4 linked regions of the Caenorhabditis elegans genome follow. The protein of the gene in region 3 interacts with the protein of the main gene of each other region in a pairwise test. Each region holds a gene or a part of one and is shown on either strand. Other genes may lie near its edges.

Evidence for each region.
Region 1: the proteins of allo-1 (region 3) and zhp-2 interact in a two-hybrid assay, tested with the Caenorhabditis elegans proteins (one large-scale study listed by BioGRID).
Region 2: the proteins of allo-1 (region 3) and F37A4.5 interact in a two-hybrid assay, tested with the Caenorhabditis elegans proteins (one large-scale study listed by BioGRID).
Region 4: the proteins of allo-1 (region 3) and F11G11.5 interact in a two-hybrid assay, tested with the Caenorhabditis elegans proteins (one large-scale study listed by BioGRID).

The regions. Positions count from the first base shown.
Region 1 is NC_003279.8:8,485,189-8,490,037, forward strand, and holds zhp-2 (Zip homologous protein 2), read right to left. Parts: upstream 1,875-4,849; 5' UTR 1,856-1,874; coding exon 1,753-1,855; intron 1,702-1,752; coding exon 1,622-1,701; intron 1,572-1,621; coding exon 1,458-1,571; intron 1,413-1,457; coding exon 1,068-1,412; intron 895-1,067; exon of another isoform or gene 894-894; coding exon 813-893; 3' UTR 622-812; downstream 1-621. Other genes in the region: D1081.6 (Carn_acyltransf domain-containing protein), read right to left, coding at 112-168, 222-506; lotr-1 (HTH OST-type domain-containing protein), read left to right, coding at 2,455-2,523, 2,570-2,703, 2,749-3,063, 3,109-3,312, 3,382-3,557, 3,604-3,676, 3,729-3,976, 4,023-4,849.
Region 2 is NC_003281.10:6,709,137-6,714,123, reverse strand, and holds F37A4.5 (Mov34/MPN/PAD-1 family protein), read right to left. Parts: upstream 2,256-4,987; 5' UTR 2,181-2,255; coding exon 2,098-2,180; intron 2,052-2,097; coding exon 1,809-2,051; intron 1,695-1,808; coding exon 1,136-1,694; intron 1,091-1,135; coding exon 1,016-1,090; 3' UTR 933-1,015; downstream 1-932. Other genes in the region: Ankyrin repeat-containing protein F37A4.4, read right to left, coding at 1-262, 347-419; Chromatin-remodeling complex ATPase chain isw-1, read left to right, coding at 4,124-4,192, 4,288-4,426, 4,476-4,665, 4,710-4,788, 4,837-4,987.
Region 3 is NC_003282.8:10,694,394-10,699,940, reverse strand, and holds allo-1 (Allophagy receptor allo-1), read left to right. Parts: upstream 1-2,868; 5' UTR 2,869-2,872; coding exon 2,873-2,933; intron 2,934-3,147; coding exon 3,148-3,465; intron 3,466-3,521; coding exon 3,522-4,204; intron 4,205-4,359; coding exon 4,360-4,506; 3' UTR 4,507-4,635; downstream 4,636-5,547. Other genes in the region: R102.6 (MARVEL domain-containing protein), read left to right, coding at 1-42; R102.11 (uncharacterized protein), read left to right, coding at 375-438, 1,116-1,297, 1,349-1,480. UniProt on the Caenorhabditis elegans protein: Autophagy receptor, which is required for allophagy, an autophagic process in which paternal organelles, including mitochondria and membranous organelles, are degraded in early embryos.
Region 4 is NC_003280.10:4,855,941-4,860,748, reverse strand, and holds F11G11.5 (Membrane protein BRI3), read right to left. Parts: upstream 2,827-4,808; 5' UTR 2,817-2,826; coding exon 2,772-2,816; intron 2,680-2,771; coding exon 2,328-2,679; intron 2,227-2,327; coding exon 2,105-2,226; intron 2,055-2,104; coding exon 1,902-2,054; 3' UTR 1,597-1,901; downstream 1-1,596. Other genes in the region: nspd-5 (Nematode Specific Peptide family, group D), read left to right, coding at 389-604.

The sequences.
Region 1 (4,849 bases), on a different chromosome or scaffold from region 3:
GATTTTCCGATATTTCCTGAAAAAACTTGAGAAATCAAAAAAAAGCTCGAAAAATGACACCCTTGATTTAGAACCAACTGAAAACTCTTTGCAAAACTTTTGAAAACTCACCGAAAGTCGATTATTTTCTGCTTGTTCCACTGCAACTTTGTGTCGTAGATTTTTGGCCTGAAACACAAGGCAAAGTAAAAGAATAATTCCAGAATAAAAGCAAATCTCACCATTTCTTTATACATCTCCGAATTCTGATGACCTCCGATATATTGATCCATTTCTGCAAGCAATCGTTGGTAACTGTCCGGAAGTGGCTGTTTCGGTGGTTCAGGGGCATATATATTCAAATCGTAGAGTGGTATTTGCACTTGGAACGGTTTCGAAGATCCGGGAACGGTTATTTTTCGGATTCCGATTACTTTTGGCTCTTCTTCAGCAATACATGCGAGAGACGGTACAAATCGAAGAGACGTTGACAAAGAAGAAGTAGGAGTTTCGCAATTTGGAGACATTTTTCGAGAGAGTGGAGTTCGAGCCACCTGGTGGTGTGGTGATGGCTGGAGGAAAGAATGAGGAAACGCTAACCGCATTTACTGGAATTGCGCGTCGCGTTTTGTACCATAAAACAATCAATAAATCTTTAGTTTACAAAATCTGCAGGTGATGTTACAAAACGATAAAGATGCAAATACTGTGAAAGTGAAGAGGGGAATAAATATTCTTTGGGAGATATTACGGGGGCAATAAACCTTTGATTTTGAATAGAAATAAAAATTGTGGAAAAAGGATAAAAATACGGAGGTGACATACAGGGAGTTTTATTGACGAAGAATTGGCGACGGATGCTCAAGTCCTGCGCCAAACAATCTATTCCTATGATCACGGCGACTATAATCGATCTGGAAAAAATTACACTTAATCAATCACAGCAATTGCGAGCGGATTAATGAAAGTTCCATGATTCAAATGATTTCTTGGCAATACACCCGGCAGCCAGATGTTTTGGATTGACATTAAAGATTATCCAAAATACCAAGTGTACTGGGGACTGGAAAACAGGAGATAAAACTAACATTGGAGAGAGGAGTGCTGGTGAGAATCTTGGACGTTGACTGATCACGCAGGTTTAATGAAAATTCATGACTAGCTTTTCGCATCACAGAGGGAGGACCAGTTCGGGATATCTTCGAGAAAGGCGGCTCAGTTCGAGTGTTCGATCGGCGTTTATTTACAGAAAGATTTTGAGATGGTTGTTCGCGTAGTTCCTTCAGCCTGGCCATCAGCTGATTCTTTTCCTCTTTTGCATTTTTCAGTTTGACATTATCTTCAAGGAAAGCTTTCTTTCGTTTTTCGATTTCTTGAGTCTTTTCCACGTGTTTTGAGCGTGCTTCGGCGAATCGCTCGGTATCTTTTTTCGCCTGAAATTATTAATTTTATTGGTTATTCAATTGTCAACAGATAACCTCGGCGTTTTTACATTTTACATATATTTCTCGCTGTTTCGCCTGAAATGCGACAACTTGTTTCAGCTCGTTGACCAGGTCTGACGCCAGCTGTCGCGGATCTTTGAACAATTCCTGAGATGGTTTTTTATTTAAATTGAATTTTAAGTCGACTGAAACATTACCATCAAATCAGGTCGCAAGTTTTTATTGATTTCATCCACCTTTAGCGGTTTTTTACACAAGTAGCACTGCGAGTTAAATGCTAAAAATGCTATATAAATTCTAGCTAAATTTATTATTAAAATTTACTAACCAGCTTTCGTACAGTTTTGACAGAAAACGTGACCGCATGCTGTTAGGTACAGTTTCGTTTGATTTGGTTTAATGCCACAATGATTGCATTGGATCCAATCCATACGTGTTTCGAGTCTTAAAATACGATTAAATAAAGCTCAAAGACTTCTGCTAGATAACAAGTAATTATTAGAACATTCATCTCGATTATCACTATAACTCTCTAGTTATAACTATAAAACAATTTCAAAAAAGAACTTTGAATATAAAGAATGAACAAACAAAAAATGTTTGATTTTAATTAAAGACCGGCAGTGCACCTAAGTTGGATTAGCATCAGAGATCTTAATCAAGAATCAATCTTCAAGCATTACATTATTTTTGTTTATATTTTGAAACTCGATCGAGAAAGAAACAAAATTAAATAAATCGGTTTTCAAGCTTTTCAAACTTTAAGTGTATCAAAGGCGCAGTTAATTCATTGCAATAGATGGTCTCACCCGGAAAATGCGTACGCTGCAGTGGGTCTCACCGCGAAAGTGCGAATGACTAAAGTTTACGCGCGCACGGCGCGCGGCTTCAGATTCAAAATTGAAAGTTCATCTATTTCGTGGATATTTTTCAATGGATTTGGTTTTATGTACTTTTTATTTGCCGTGATCTTCGAATATTTGTTTTAATCAAGTTGCAGTTTAGGTCCATCGTTAACTTATCCCGCGAGATGCCTGCTAATGAGCTTTTCGGAGATTCTGATCCGGAAGGGGATGAAATTTTTGAAAGAGTTCGAAAGGTATTCAATTATCTGTGAAGGTAAATAGTAATAAACACATTTTCAGGTGCAACCAAAGTCGATCAATGTAACTGAGAATCAAAAGGTAGACCCTATGCGTAAAGTCAAAATCGAGCTTCAAGCTGTTTTGGTTGCGGAAAAAATACCAATTAGTACAGAAGAAATCAGACGGCGTCTGCTGTGAGTTTCTTTTTGCGAAAAATAACGACACTACCTTTGTTTCAGGGATTCTTATGGTGCATGTCCTGATCCGAAAAGATATAACTGTTCGACTTTGGACGATCTTCTTCAAGCATGCTCGGAGTCAATTGTACACACTTTCGGCCGTGATGGAATACACCGATATGGGCCAAGAACTACTGAAGCCAACCAAGATATTATCGAAATGGTCCAGCAGCAGTCGAGCTCAAAACGCCCGGCCCGCTCGTTTTTAGGTTCAGGAGCTACTAATAACCTCAGCACTCATGGGTCATCATTCCGGGCATTCAGAGGTCCGTATGCGTCAGAGGAAATCGCTAAATCGAGAGGAACACCTGAGCAGTATGTGGAAGTTTAAAAAATCGTTGTCAATGATTTGTTTTTTAGATTCAAAGCAAGACACAAGTTGGGTCCAGCAAAAACAATTTCTCGCGTAAAAAACCTTGCAGAGGTTTTGAAAGAATATGCTGATGAGATAGGAGTTTCACATCCTGATGAGCCAAATCGCAAGATTGTAACACTGGCAGCTCTTGCCAATAAGTTCAAACAGTTGTATTGTTTACCAGCATGGGGAAAGAACATATCGGAAAGGTAATTCACTTGCGCAAAAGTATTGTTGCGCTTTTATAGTCAGTTCTAAATTGAATGTTTTGATTTCAGTGAACTATACATTCAGCTCAATGTTCCTCCTTTCAACGAATATCTGCATTTCTGGCGTCTTAGCGAAAAAGGTGACATCTTCGTTGATTGTATTGATCGTGACAATGCCGATCCAACTCAAAAAAGTGAACAAAATCCGTCAGCAGATGTTTCTATTCAATCTGAATCTTTTGGCGGTAAAAGTGATCAAATGATGCTTTCCAATAGTAATTTATTTTACAGGTTCAGCTTCAGCGTTTGAACAATCTGTAGTATCCGCTCCTTCAACTATTAGAGATCAAACATCCGATTCCTTGTAAGGGCACATTTTGATCACTGTTTTTCAGATGTTATTTATCAATTTTCAGTGACGGGTTCAACAGTTTCGAAGTGCCCCCAGAAAATGGAAGCAAAGATTCAAAAATTTTCAACTCGAATCAAGAAAGCATCGATGACTATCCAGGAAATGCTATATCTCGAGATCGAACCGCTGATATGACCGACATTGCATTGCGCTTTGGAACTGTCTCTGTGGCAAGCCAACAATGTCCGGTATCTTCGTCACTCGTTCCACAAAATGGAATTCTTCGTCAGTCGCGTGCTCAAGAAGACGACAGTGAGAAAACATTTTCGCTGCTAATGAACAAATATTGAATTTACAGACAACACATCTATTCTAACTATTCAATCATCTCGTCGCAATCATTCAGTGCTTCGTCATCGTACGATCAAGCCTCGCAATCCAACACAAAATCTTGCTGAAGTCGTAAAAACTCATGGTAGCATTCCTTATGAAGCGCTTTCGGATTGTGATAAGATTATCGTCGACTTAGGAAAGAACATTTTCAAAGTTTATGCAACTCAACCTGGAGAAATGATGGTCCGCCTTTGTGATCCCCACGTTGACACGACTACATTGCCACTCCTAGAGAACAATCTTCGGGATCCTGTCGAGTCTGATTTACGTTGGATGACACTGGGAAATTCCCATATCAAGAAACAATCTGTTAAAGTGGTCAAGCCTGCAATGTTTATTGCGCCACGCGGATTTTTGTTGATTTTAAAAGATGAAGAACGTGAAGAAATGGACGTTGAAAAGGTTGCTACTATGGGGAATATATTGCGGGCCGTGATGGTAGCGCCTATTGTGGAGCTCCAGCGTGAAACCGTCCGCACGGGATCAGCTGCAGTCTACGTTTATCGACAAGGAGCGGAGGTGCGCTATTATAGAGTGTTGATAGTTGGACAAGCTAAACAAGATGGTGAAGTGTTGGTTTTGTTGGCTGATGTCGATGATCAATATTTCGTGGATGTACATCTATCTCATTTGTTCCCGATTCCGGAAGAAGCCAGCTTCAAACACTTTCCCTCGAATGTTGTATTCGCAACATTGCATGGAGTACTGGGTTTGACGCTTTCTGAGCAGGATGTGATGTTCGAAAACATTGATAATGATGATACAAAACGATTTGTGGGTGGATATTTTCAT
Region 2 (4,987 bases), on a different chromosome or scaffold from region 3:
TTGAGATCCTGTTGTAACTGTTCATTGGAACCACTCACAGCTTGAAGGCTTTTCTTGTGAAGCTCGTCAAGGTTTTTGACAAGATGTGCAGGATCTAGGCTCAACAAGTTTGAGAAGTTACCATTATCAACTTTCAGAAGCTCGGTGATCACTTCACGGATTTTGACAGTTTTGGATAGAGCTGCAGCCTGTAGAGCTATTGCGTTGGTTACACGAGACAGAATGGATAACTCATCGTAGATTTGTTGAAGTTGAGATTCGCCTGAATAGTAATTAACATAAGTTTCATGTGAGAGTCCAGGAATATGACATTTTCTTGTGAATCAATCAGAAATTTTCAATTTACCTTGTTTTTCTCCGGCTCCACTAGCCACAAAGAATACAACAAAAGTTGAAAATATAGCGTGACAAAGCTTCATGCGAATCTCTTATTTATTTCCTTCCTAGTACACGTCTCACTTTGAATACCGACACTGAAGCACATTTTGCCAAATCATGCTGAAACTGGTTTGGTATAACTTACGGATCTCCTCGGATGCTTTCTGTGAAGCTGTTGAAAATCTGAATTGATTGTGAAGTCTAAATGTAGCAAAAACAAGAGAACAAGGTTAGTAGGTTATTGGAACACGTAAATGGTAACCTCGGAAGGAAGTTCTATATTTTTCACGGGTTTTATGTTTTGTTTTTGATAAGAACTTTATCTATGAAAGTGCCCATTCTTTGCAGTAGGCACAAAAATTCCTGACTTCCGTCAAGGCTACGTATGCCTACCTGCCTACCACACAAACAGGTTCTTCAAATGTGTAATTGCACTGCCAACAAACTATACAATTAATATCTGTACTGGGCGAACATGGAACACCGAAATTCAGCTGAATCGAGAAAATAGGTAGTAAGTAGGCAGATGAGGAGGGCAGTCAGATAAGATCTGTACAATGATTCTATTTATTGATTTGAATGTGATATGGAAATGGGAAGAACGTCATTCAGAAACACAATTTAAATTGTTGCTAGTTCATGTCATTGATTTTGCGTTGATCATTGCAGTAAGCTGATGGCAGAGGGAATCGTTGAGAAGGCTAGAAGTGATCTGAAATTAAAACATTTTTTCACTGTACGTTTATTCGATTTTTACCATTTGCAATTGCTGTTTTGCATTGATTTTTCCAAACTTTTTGACTTCTTCTTGAGTCTTTCCTTTCTTATCTGCAATTGGTTTCTCCTTAACTTCGTCAATATCCTTATTGAAGACTGCAATCAGTTTGTTGATGCTCTTGAACTTCTCCTCCTGCTTCTTCTCAAGCTCCGAGTAAGTTGACATATTCAATTGATCATACCAACTCTTCTTATTCAAACACATCAACATCTTCTGCTCATTCGACCCCATGCGATAGGCGACATTCAACGAATAGTACTTGGTGCCAAGACCATGAACAACAGAGATTAGCGATGGCTTAGTGAGATGTCCAAGATTGGAAGTAGTCTGTCGTGGTTCAGCAGTTGGAGCGAGAGGACGAATTTGCAAGTTGAGTGGGTTTACAGATCGGAATGCGTCCAGCATAACTTTCCCCTTCACACTCTGAATCGGATCAACGACAACTGCAACAGCACGGGGATGGAGAGCTTCGAAAGACTGTTGAGTGTTTACGTCCACAGAAGATAGCCAGCATCCGAATCCTGGATGCGAATGGTACCTGAAAGTTGTTATATAATTTCAATAGAGGCTTTGATTATAAAAACTGAAAACTATATCTGCTGCGTCGTAGATTCTAAAAGATTGCCTATATTCTTGGGTCCCCTTTACTCACCATCCAACAACATTTTCAGTTCTTCCAACCAATTTCAGCAAGTCCATATGCTTTGTCTGATACACAGGATCCACCGATTCCACGGTCACACTGGTTCCACTCTGCGGCATTGCAAAAACGTCCGTAACATTGATAGTGTAGTCGTCCACAAAGTCTCCGAGCATCAGACCCATCACCTCCAACGGGATTCCAGAACGAGCATGGCGCAGCATTTTCAGCAAAGCCAACGAGGAAATGTTCACTCTGAAATTTCAACAAATTCTGGAATCCATAAAAAATTTAAACTTACGTTTCAGAAGTGTCCGGATGATCAAGTTTATCAGTTGCCTGCTTGTTCTGATTCATCAACAACGAACGGATAAGACGATCCATTTTTTTCAGAAATTTCTATTCTATTGAGCACGAACAAAAAAATCGAAAGCAACATGCGAAGCAGAATATGTTAATAAAAGAGTTTCGGAAGAAGTCTCGGCGTTGCCACGTGGATGACGTGGGTCGGAAGAGTGTGTGGCAAAGGTCACGCGAGAACTATTTTCCGCGTGAAATGTTTTTTGTTGTGTTTTTGAGAAGCATGAAATTCTTACACAGGAGAATTTTCAGTTAATTTATTTTACAAAAAAACAAAGCAAGTAACAATTATTAAAAAAAATAAACAAATCAACATCGTTCCAAGATCCCAACGTCTCCAATCCACTTCCCGTCATCTAGCTTAACAAGAAGACTAGTCTTAAGACTTACACAGTCTACTCCAGTGACCACATGCTTTCCAACGAATGTGAGTACATTCACTGACATGATAATCAAAGTATTATAGGTCATAACAATAAGAGAAAAGTTCAAAAGTTCTAGAAGAATTAATGTAATTTCTCTCAACTTTTGTTGGTTTGGATTTTCAAATACTTTCATAGGAAAGAAGAAAATGAATATGACGAGAAACGTGTAGAACGCAGTAATTAGAGTTGATTTCGAGAAGGCCAATGAATTAGAAAAACGCCTATCTGTTGAAACTGAGAGTTGGAGGTTATGATGAGGCTGGAGAATTCCCAAAGCTGTAGTGTAGGAGAGTATTGATAATGGATACAAGGTACAAAGCAGGTAGATCTGAAAATAATTATTGATAGTAGGTCACAAGCTTCCAAATTCTCTCTCGTTTGAAAATGAATGGCCGTAAAAAGCGTCGAAGACGGCCATGTGTAGATTTTAAGAACTTTAGGCAAAACCCTTCTGAAAAGTGCATGAAACTATAATAGGGTACTTTGATTTTTGGCTTACCGCACTATAATTAAGAAATAAATTATGATTTTAATTCAAAACTCAAAAAGAATTCTCAAAAGTAGTGAAAATGAGGAGTTTAGACCACAAATTCTCAACAAAAAGTATAACTTCTCCTCGAGGAGTACACAGCCTGCGTAAATCGACATATAGCCTTGTTGAAGGTTCAAACGCTTTCTAGGGATGTATATCAAACAAAACAATTATTCTGACTCACAGATTTATAAAAAGTTGTGCTCACCACCACAAAAATAATTACTAAATTTACAATTACTGCTCCCACGTGACTTGCGATAAACTTCCATGGTTTTTGTCTAATTTTTGTCAATCCAAAATGAACAAGGCAGTGTGGAATGTAAAAAGGAACAAAATGAAGTAGAAAGTATATCGGAATTAGATATGTTGGAACAATTTTCTTTAATTCAAAAATGTCATAGGATAAAAATGCGGTGAGCAATGCTTATTATTATCTGTTATTATTATCTGTTATGCTCACTGAGCATAACAGATAATAAGGCGCAAAATAGTGGAAGCCGATGGAAACATCGTTGACGAAGTGTGGCAGCCATTTTTGAATTTGTAAATATTGTTCTTCTGCGAATTAAGTGAGGGGCTGACATTTATCGATTGACTTTCTGATTTATCGATTTACAATTCAAAGCATCCTTCTTTTTCTCATAGATTTGAAATACGGGGTCAGCATAAAGAAACAGCTTGTTTTTGTACAACTTTTTATTCTCGAATAAAACTTTTCAATGAGTTCTTTAAACTGATTACTGTAGAAATCCGGCAAGCATCTATTTTTAAAATTCGCGCGCATTTATTAGTTTTCTGTGTATTTGCGCGTCGCCGTGTCTGCGTATCCACTGAGAACCGCGAAAATGCTGTTCAATTTCTGGTTGCCTCATTTTCGCGCGCTGGTTACCTTTTTCACACGTTTTTGTTAGAATTATCGGTTTGTTCGATTATAAATGTTTTCTTTATCAAACCTGTAAACGCCCGAGGTAATTTGTACAGTTGTTAATTGGTGATTGTCACAGAAAATGTCGGTTCACGAGTCTTCGAACGAAATAAATGACGAGCCTATGGACACCGATTCCAACATCCCGGAGGTAAATAATTTTTTGATGTACATAGGTTTTGCGTTTTATTAAAGATATTTTTTACATTCTTCACATAAAACAATACATTACATTCTACGTTTCAGTCTTCCGGGAACGATCCCTCAATGGAAGTGGACGATGAACCGGAATCGTCCGACGCCGCCGATTCCTTCAAGAGATTTGAAAGATTGTTACAAAAAACGGAAAACTTCTCACATTGTTTATCATCTGGAGATGCGAAATGTATTGGTCCATGTTTAAGCCGCAAAAATCTTATAAAGAAAGTTTTCAGTAGCAACTGGAGCCCCAGTTGACACCAAAAAGCGTGGACGCCCCTCGAAGAAAAACGGAATAGACGGAGATCATCGACACAGAAAAACTGAGCAAGAAGAAGATGAAGAAATGGTGGCCGATGCTATTAAAAGTGATGATTTGGTGATTTTCGACAAAAGTCCGTTTTACATCGAGAATGGAGAAATGAGGTATAAAAAATGTTATGAAATAATGCATCAAAAAAAAATTCCAGAGATTACCAAGTTCGTGGACTCAACTGGCTCGCATCCCTTCAACATAATAAAATCAATGGAATTTTAGCTGACGAAATGGTATCTCTTATAATTTATTCCAATGAATAATAATTGTAATTTTTTCAGGGACTCGGAAAAACACTCCAAACGATTTCTATGATAGGATACATGAAACATTACAAAAACAAGGCGTCTCCACATCTTGTCATTGTTCCAAAATCCACTCTTCAGAACTGGGCTAACGAGTTCAAAAAGTGGTGCCCATCGATTAATGCGG
Region 3 (5,547 bases):
ATAATCCGCGCTGAAGTGAAAGCAAATGAAGAGCTCGTATAACAGATCCTCAAATGATTCCTTGTACTTTTGTCCTCAAAAACCAAATACTACCTCATACTTCATGATCTCTCATTCCTTAGCAGCTTTCTTCCAAAAACTGTAAAGCAACTACTTCCGACCGCGATTAATTTGAAATCCGAAATCCGAAATCCTAAACGAAGAGATGCGAAATAAAAAGAAAATTGGTGGCGCTCCAGGCAATTGTCACACTCGGACACCGGATCCTCCGAGACGTTCAACTAATCCGCTCGACACTGCTTCTAGTCATACTTAAACCGTTTTGTTTTCTATATTTACTACTATTCTACTTCATTTTTCATCTTTTCAGAAATATGAATCTGATCTTTTTACTATTCACTTTTCCCATCTTCGTAGACAATTTTTTGTTTGGTTTCGGTAAGTTTGAACTATTTGAAATTCCAATTATTATGTGGAGTTATTAATGAAATACATATGAAGTAAGCTTGACTTTATTTTTTACTAATTGGTTCGAAAAAAACGACTAATATCCTTTATCATGATTAGAAACCGCAATCGTTCTCGATGTTGGCAGGAAATGAAGGTTGGAAAAAAAAATTAATCGCGGTATCTTTTTAAACATAATATAGACATAAACTTTGATCTTATTACCGTGCAAAATCACAAAATTTTGTTCGGTAACGATTTCTGATGATTTTTAGAACATTGATAAGATTTTGATAAGACATCAGACAATTACGTGAGTTTCATGAGAAATGGATACCAGAGACAATCTTGTCGACATCTCAATATGTTTCTTAAAATTTACACGAAAACCTTGACATCGGGTGGCAACATATTGCCCAATTTTGGAACAAAAATATTTACTTGCTAAAAACAAAAGTTAGGCAACACTCGAAAGGAAACAACGATTTTAAGTAACAGATACATTTTCTTGTACCTCAATTTTTATTATTAGCAAAATAAAGTTCTTTATGATATATGACGTATGTAAGATGTAGGAACAAACAATTAATTCCCAGAAGCCTGTAATTTATTTTAACGGACTAGAAATTTTCCAACACTTTTTCCTTTACTTATCTCATACTATTCAGGAGGCGGTGGCGGATGCGGATGTGGAAGTTCCTGTGGTGGATGTAACATGGGATGCTCCTGCCTACCACCTCCCCCTTCTCCAGTATGTATGCCACCTCCACCTCCACCGTGCCCGATGCCAATCCCGTGTCCACCTCCTCCGCCTGCCTGCTCGTGCCCGCCACCGGTAACCATGTATCAGGTAATTTTACTGTAAAATTTGCCTAATTTCATTGTTGTTATATCTTTTCAGCCCTGTATGGTTCCTCAATACGTTCCTCGATGCAGTGGTGGATGCGGAGGGTGTGGTGGTGGATACGGTGGCGGTTACGGTGGTGGGTGTGGTCGAAGAAGACGTGCGATCAACAATCAGACGATACATTGATATGTACAATGGTTTTTGCTTATATAACATCTTTTCTTTCAGTCATAACACAAATAGTACAAAAATAAAATGTTAAACATTCAAAAGTTACAGAATGAAGTTCCTAGAATCTAGTACGACGTGGATTCTGTAATAATTTTCAAATAAAATGCTTATAACGAGTGTTCTGTAAAATATGAGCCTTGTGGATTCTGAGGTCCTGAAACGACAAATAAAATGTTGAACTGGGGCTTGCGCTTTCAAAGAGGAATGCAGCTGTATATGTAGTTAATGGTGGTCTATTTCAATATTTTGCACAGTGTTTCACAAGTTTAAAAAATGCGTACCTAAAGACGCACCGAGATTTGGATCTCGCCTCAAGACAAAGTTTATGTTTTTTTTTTCCAATTTACCGGGAATCATAATAAATATTTTCTCGTGACGAATTTCAATCCGCATTGAAGTTTCAGAAAACTGCGACATTAGTCATCAATATTTAGTGTACCCTTTAAAATCTCAGCTACAATAAATTCTTCATTTTTCGGAATCGATTGGAAAAGGGTATTTAGAATTTCAGAAATCTTTTTTTTAAAGCTATATTTAAAAAAAAAAAATAAAAATTCCTAACCAATTATTGATATTAATGGAGAAAAACGCACCGAAAACGGTCAAATTTGAAAAACCGCGAAAAACGAATTTTGTCTGCCTGCCTGCGTCTCTTCAATTCCTCCAGTGTCTCGTCTTCCTCAAAACAACCAGACGAGAGCGCTCATTTCGCCATTTTTTGTGTTACAGGCTGCATTTCTTCCTATTCCTTATTTTTGCTTCATTTTTTCGTTTTTTCAAGTCAAATTGATTGACAGAATTTACAATTGTAGAAATGAAAATTGAATTTTTAACGAAACGCCGACACAAATCTGAAAATTTGTTGGAAAATGTTATAATTTCTTCGCTTCTTCTGAACGCATGATTTCCCAACAATTTTAATTGCATTCCTATCCATCTATTAGCAATATAGTTTTTTCTTAACAAGTCGACTCTGGAAAATATCAAAAAATTCCTAACGACCTTCAAAAACGACATTTCCCACTGGTCACTGCGACCCGCATCAGCTGTTTTCCAATTCGAACATTTTATGCCTGCGTCTCCAAGAGCTGCTGATTCATTCTCTGGCAAACACATGATTCCTCGAGTCGTTTTTACACTGAGACGTAGAAGACAGACGACCTAGAATGTTTCGAAATCACACTCTAACTCTCTCAATGATTTTACTCTCCTTTATATATTGCTAGCAGTAACCAGTGCTTAGTGTTTGCATTCTCGATCATACGACCTCACTCTTCTCATATATTTTTCTCATTTTTCAACTCGAGATTTTGTTATTATCACTCACTAAGTAATATTTTTCAGAGAATGAACGATCCGCTTGACTCCCTCTCGAATGACGAATTCGAGATAATCGAGACTTTTGACCGTAAGTTTTTATTTTATTTTAAAAAAAGGACCTAAAAATTCAAGCTCCCAAGCTAACCCAATGAGAAAATATAACTTTTGTCTAGAAATAAATTGTTTGCATCATGATTTCGAAATTTCTTCGCATTTTTTGAAATTATGGGTCAACTTTCTGAAATCGATTTATTTGTTATTTCACAATCGAGGATTTTTAAAAATTCAAAAAAAAATTCCAGCTGAAACAGAAGATCGTGAGGATCAATGGAGTATTCAGCAGAGTATCCGAATCGAGCCAATTTCAATCCAGATGCCGAATACACTTCAATCACAGCGCGCTCCATCTCCTGTCGGATCGAAGGCCCCGGAGTCGTTGAAAGACGAAGATCCAGATCGTACACCTGAAGCATCAATCGTTGAAACACCGCTCCTTACCGAAACTTTGAAGGAAGATCGTACTCCAATGTCAACTCCTCTCGCGTCTCTTGTCAATTCGAGTCAATCTCCTGAATTCACTCTTCAGAATATGTCTATTGTGTCCGAGTCTGAATGTTCCAGTTAGTTTTAAACCAAAACTTATCATAAATTATTTATTTGACCAAGTAAATTCCAGATAATTCCTCTCTTGTGAACGTGGCGGACGTTGAATCAACAGAAATCGCTTTGAGAACATCACTTCTTCTTGTGAGCGAGCTGAAATCTCAACTTCAAGCTGCAAAAATGTCTGAATCCACTCTTCTGAAATCAAATTCAAACCATGAAATTGAAGAAAACAAGAAACTATCTGAGAAAATGGAAGTTATGAAGAACGAGTTCGAATTGAAGATGCAAGAATCAGCTGCTAGCGTAGAGAAAGTTATCCAGGAGAAAGACTCGGCTATCGAGCAGCTCAAAGTGCAATTGGCTCAGAGCCAACAGGTGGCCGAGCTGTGGAAGCAGGGAGCCGAGAAAAACAGCAACGCTCAGTACAGTGACTCGAAGACTACTATTGATAGACTTTTGGAGGAGAACTCGAAATTGAGAAATCTGGTTGATGAAGAGGTTGCTCGCCGGCTCGAAGAATCTGAGCGTCGCAAGCTGGCGGAGGATCAGTTGAAACATGCAAGAGGAGGCTCTGTCTTTGATCCACCAGCCTCTTTTGTTGCATCGCAGTTGGCGGAAAGAACCACATATTCATTGAATCTGGAACATGAGCTTATCACTCTGAGAAAAGAATTGGAGGAAACTAAAGAAGCACTGAAGAAATCTGTAGAAGAGTCGAGCAACAAGGATGAGATAGTTAGTGCTCTGCATGAGGTGCGGTTTTGATAACTTTTTTTTAAATTAGTTAACCATAGAAACCGTTCAAGCGGTCATTGCTATCTTAAATTTTTAATTTAGTGCTAAAACAACGTTGTTTTTCAACGACAAACATAAGATTTCATTTAACAATTTTTTGCAAAAAATACCAGCTTGCAGGACCAACAGGAGAGCACCCGCATGCTCGCTTCGAACGAGCAGGTGATCAACAGTCTGAAGCAGAAATGTCGTCAACTTGGAGTGCTGGAAGACTTCTCGAGCTAAGCCGTCAAATTGTTCATTTTATCTCCCACCAATAATTCTCATTTATCACGCCACATTGTGTACATTCAATACTTTTAAATTCTTGTTTTCATGATTTGTTCTATTTTGTATATTATCTTGCAAAACCCGTGTCAATAAAAATTATGATGTAGAAAAAATTCTAATCATTTCTCAGCAATTACTCGAATTTAGTCGGTAGTTTATTGGTAAATTGAAATGAAAAAAATAATTTAATAATTGCAGGTTTTTGTAAAAGATGTACTCTTTGCTCACACGACGGGTTATAGTATTAGGAAATGGTGAGTGAAAACAATAACGATACAAACGTACATATATTCAAGATCTAACGATTCGAGAAAATTCATAATGAAATTTAACTGAGAGATAATCGATCTATTTTTGCGCCAAAAATACGGTACTCTGTATCGACACGACATTTTTTTGTTAAAAGCAAACGGGGGTGCACCTTTAAAGTGTACTGTAATTTCAAACTTCCGATGCTGTGGAATTTTTTAATTTTAATCGATTTTTCAGAGTTGTTATTGCGACTTGTTATATTGTATGTATTGTTAATTGTTTAGTTTTAGTTTTTTTTTCAAATAAATAAATGCATTTTGAACGAAACAATTCGGAGAAATTTTCGCACCAACAAAAGTTTTATAAATACAGTACTCTTTAAAGGCGCGCACAATTTTTTAGTTTACAAAACTTTTTCGCGTCGAGACCGGGAAATGTTTTTAGCGCGAAAATTGCGAAATTTTGCGTCTGGCTAATATGGAAGTTTTTACAAATGATCAAGGTTAAAAATAATAAAAACTACAATCAAGGTTGTCAATTCCCGTGTCCCGTTTGTCCCGTTGTCCCGATTTTGGGGTGTTTCCACGGGAACGGGAATTCCCATTGTCCCGTTTTTAAAATTTTCACGGGAACGAGAATTCCCGCTGTCCCGTTTTTGTCATTGTTACGGGACACTGACACCCTTGACTACAATTACAATGTTTGATCTGTGTTATCATGCTCTCATTTTCATATCGGTATTTCAATTACATAATTTCATCGACACTATTGAAACGATT
Region 4 (4,808 bases), on a different chromosome or scaffold from region 3:
GCCTCCACTTGCCCGAGAGAAACATCTTCCCAACCATTTCGAGGATACTCACCTTTTAGAGCTCAATGAACAACCGGCGCCTTTTGAATACTTTGTTGTAAGCAATGAATTTTTGAATAAGGAAACACGTGAGAATAAATAATAAAGATTAAATTATTTATTTTAGAATGTCACTGGATTTATTAATTATTTTCAATTACTTATTTTTTCATCCTTTTTAATTTTAAAAGAAATTTCCAAATTTGAAAAGTTCATGTAGACGGCGTGAACTTTCCGTGGAATATTCTTATCTTTGTCCTAGATCTTTCCTTATATAACGGGGCAGAAAACCTCAGTCAATCAGTATTCTGAGCAAGTTTCTCTGAATAACCCCAAACGAAAGACAACGATGGCGGACAAGTCGGCTTACATGGGCGCTGGAGGCTATGGATCAGGCTACATGGGATCCAATGCCTCGTCGTCGGGATATGCCCGCGAAGACTATGCACAAGGAGGAAATGGTGGTGGACAACAACAGCAGAACCAGGGTTCCGGAGGAAACACCAACCCAGGTGGACAGGTCTTCAAGGCCCGCACTGACCAATCGTGCTACCTTGGACCATAAGATGATCGACACTAGAAGAGCCAGTAGCCAACAGAAATGCAACTTTCTTTGGCCTTTTGTGCCCAATAAATAGTTTTTCTTAGCTCGTTTTTTGTTGTTTTTTAATGTTAATTACTTTCTCAATTGTTTTCTCAACAGCAATAAGTTCTCCTCTGTTGTTGGTAGGTGCTCCGTACACCGGCCCAAATTCGTTGTCCTCACCTAGTCTTCTCCCTAGTAAAATTCGGGATTGATAACTGAAATGTTTTTGTTAAAACTATAATTTATATATAAATAAATAAATATATATATAAATAAATAAAGAATTTTAATTCAATAAGCACCTTCTTCTTCTTTCTTCAGTTTCTTAGCTTTCTGTCAATTTTGTTCCTTTGTAAGTCCGCTTTCTTGTGGCTGATGGATGGTTTTGATACTGCAGGAGTAACCGGCTTGAAAGATCATGCTTATTATACAGCCAATAACAAGGTAGCCGGTCTCGACACGACAAATTTATCAATAAATGCAAACGGGTCTGCGCCTTTGAGGAGTACTGTAGTTCCAAACTTCTCGTTGTTGCAGGATTTTATCTGATGTTCCATAAATTTTCAAACAATTTTATTTCATAAAAATTATTTTATTTCATAATGTCCCGAGAAATTGATTTTTAATTAATTGCGAGGTTTTGAACAATTTCGCGATTCCTGCCTCAAAAATACGATACCTGGTCTCGAAGCGATTGTTTTTCTCAAGTGCGCTTTTAAGAAGTACTGTAGTTCCCAACTCCTCGTTGTTGTAGGATTTTATTTATGTTCCATAAACTTTCACCCGTTTCTTTGAAAAATATATTTACAAAAACAATAAATTTTTAAGAAACTGGCGAAAAACCAGGAAAAATCGAAATAATTCCGTAACTACAGTACTCCACAAAGGCGCACGTTTTTTCGGAATTAATGAAATCTGTCGATGCGAGACCTGGTACTTTTCTTTTGGAGAACTCATATCAAACTTCTAGATAATCGGTAATATCTTTATTTCAATTGTTTCAATGATATTCACAGCGACACGCATAATCTGAATGGGTTTTGGAATAAGGCTTCGAGGGAAAAGGGGGAGGAAGAGTGATGAATTCAGTATCTGAACTGACTTCGTTGCATAAAATACTAAACATAAAACGGTAACACAAAAACACACTCGTGACCAGTACAGTTCACTAATTTTACAATTTTTGATTATGGTATGGAACAGTTAATATGTCTACTTGGTAGGAAGGGGGAAATAATAATACTACAGCGGATAAAATATAAATTGAAATTTCTTCTTAAGCGAGTCGATTACAGTGAGTGCATCGATTTTGAACGGTACACGGGACACAGCACAAGAAGATCAATCCAAATGGGAATGTGAAGATTGTGAGCATAATCAGACATAGAAGACAGCACATATCAGTTTGACGAGTGATCACTCCAACGGTCTGAAAGTTTTTTAATTGATTGATTGAATAAAGATTTAATCAAAGCTTACACAACGACGGCATGGTGCTCCAGGTTGAACATGAACTATGACATTACTTCCAGCAGGATTTTGAATACGAACTGCTCGAACGATCTGCTCAATTGCGGCCGGTTGTGGGAGACGCGTTTGTGCTGAAAATGTTTAATATAAAAAACGGATTACTTATTTGTTATTGTTTGAAATTAAAAGTTATTTGTTGCTTTCCGAGCTTCAAAGATTTATTAAAACTTACTAATCTGTGGTGGCTGGTAGTAGATCGGCGGTTGCCCTCCATTGTGATATTTAGGATCAGTCGATCCACCGTACGTCGGTGCAGCTGGATATGACATGGCAGCCTGATAGGATGGTGGTGGCATATCGTAGGAACTCATAGTAGGAGCTGGTCCAGCAGAAGCATGCGGTGGTGGTGGTCCTGCTGGAACTGGAGCGCTGACATGAACTTCTGAAGAGTTTTGAATGTCTGTGCTGGGATAGACAAATCCAGCCGGTGGAGGTGGACGAGACGGCGATGTTGGCTGTTGCTCGGGAGCTGATGGAGCCGATGGCTGAGCTGATGAGCTTGACATTCCTTCGTCAGTTGGAGGCTGAAATTTTATTTTGAATTATTTTTAATGTATAGAACTCGAGAAAATATAATTCAAGTTCAAATGGCTTTTTAATCAAAAAAAAAACTCACACTGTCTGGAAGAGGCTGCTTAACTGGATCCTGATGACCGGTCATTTCTAGAAATCTGAAAACGTGAGCGTTTGAGTGAAAATCTCGAGAATAATTTTACAAATGAAAAATGAATGCAACGATTGGAAAATAACCAATATTCCGAGAAGAGTTCAATTTTATAAAAGATCTTATTATTTTTTGTGGTCTTTATCTATAAATATAGCCTAATCTAATGAAAAAGCGAATCCTAATGAAATATTAAGAAAAGAAGAAAACACGTTGTCAAATATAAATAACCAAGAAGAAAAGAAGAGTCGACTGTACTGGGATTTGAGCAAAACACTGAGAAACAAAAATAGAAAAATTGAGCATTCTGATTACATTTAATTTTTTTAAAAAAGGCAGAAGGAGAAACAAATTATGAGAAAGACATAAAAAAAAGAACAAATCAAACAAAAAAACGGGCTATTTAAAGAAATCTGTTCAAATACAAAAAAAAAAAACAAGATTTGGCGTTGGAGATGATTTCCCTTGGTTGCAGACGATGTTTTTCTTCTGAAAAAATAAATCTTTGTTTTTATCGATTTTTTCCTAAAAAACACAGTGAGTGGTGGTAATGGAGGGTTCACTTTGTGATAAAAATGTATTCAGCGCGGACAAAATGATAATATGATAACACTGGCCAACGAATGAGACAGAGACTGAATTGACGAGAGAGTGAATGGAAGAGGAGACGATGAGAGAAAAATCGTTTGAAACAGTGTTTGCTGCTGTGGTCGGTGTGTCCCAGCACTCTATATTAATATGATAATTTCAACATGCAACAGTGACATTTTATTCAAAAGAGCCAGGGATACCACCGATGAATGTTAAATAATCAAAATTATCACAATTGAATAATCTGGGTTACTGTAGTTCAACTATCTGGATAATTTCGAGAGGAACAGATTTGATTGATAAAAAAAAAGCCAAGCAGTTTTTAGCTTTTGTAGGATGTAAGTTTTATAACTTGACAGAAAATACCTATTTTGGCAAAAAAAAATTTCTCGTTTTCTATAGATTTCAACAATAAAAACGTCGATTTGCCTCTGACACTTGAAATTAGAGACAAAGTGACTATTTTAATTTTAAATTAAAAAATAGTAAGCGAAAATATCCTACTATCAATAATATTATTACCCATACGCGGAATATTGCGGCTTTTGTGCGCCAAAAGTACGGTACCGGGTCTCGACACGACAATTTTGTTATATGCAAACTGATAAGATTACTGTAATTTCAAATTTTTGTTGTTGTGGAATTTTAATCGATTTTCTATAATGTTTCTCGCGATTTGTTAAAATTATTATTTTAATCAAAAAAAAAATGAAAAATTGATGGAAATTCGAAAGTTTTTTTTTTAGAATTTTCAGTTTTTTTGTCGTGTCGAGACCGGGTACCGTATTTTTGACGTAAAAGGTAATAGCAGAAAGAAAATTCAGAGCTTTCTGTGATTGGAATTTCTGAAAATTAACTATTTTTTGCAAAAAAGCTAATATCAATGTGAACAATCTCAAACACAAGAAGCGTCTGCTTCGTTTGTTTTCAATTGAATGTGAGATATGGATCTCTAGTCTCGCGCGTTTTCTAATCTCAATAGGGGAAAATCAAAAGAAGATTATGCCATATGAAATACATTTGTCCCGTGTCTGACCACGAGATCTTTTTTCTTTTTAATATTTCGCAATATTTCAGGTATTGTTCTAGAACATGTTCTGATAACACAATGAGAAATATTCTAGGCGAAAATAGTTTGTGGGGGACAGTAAATAACTAAGAAAATTGAAAAATCTTTAAAAAAAAAACAAAACACATGTATTAATGTTTTAGAATTTATCCCTGGAGACGTCAGACCGAAACAGAAAGAAAAAAGAAGACGTTGTGTAGTAGAATACAACAACCATGGCGACTTCAAGAAGAGGACGACAACCGGTTTAGTGATACAATAGTCAAAGAAATTGGCAGAGGGAGACGAAAATGTGACTCATTAAATTTTCAATGAAATTCTTACGAATA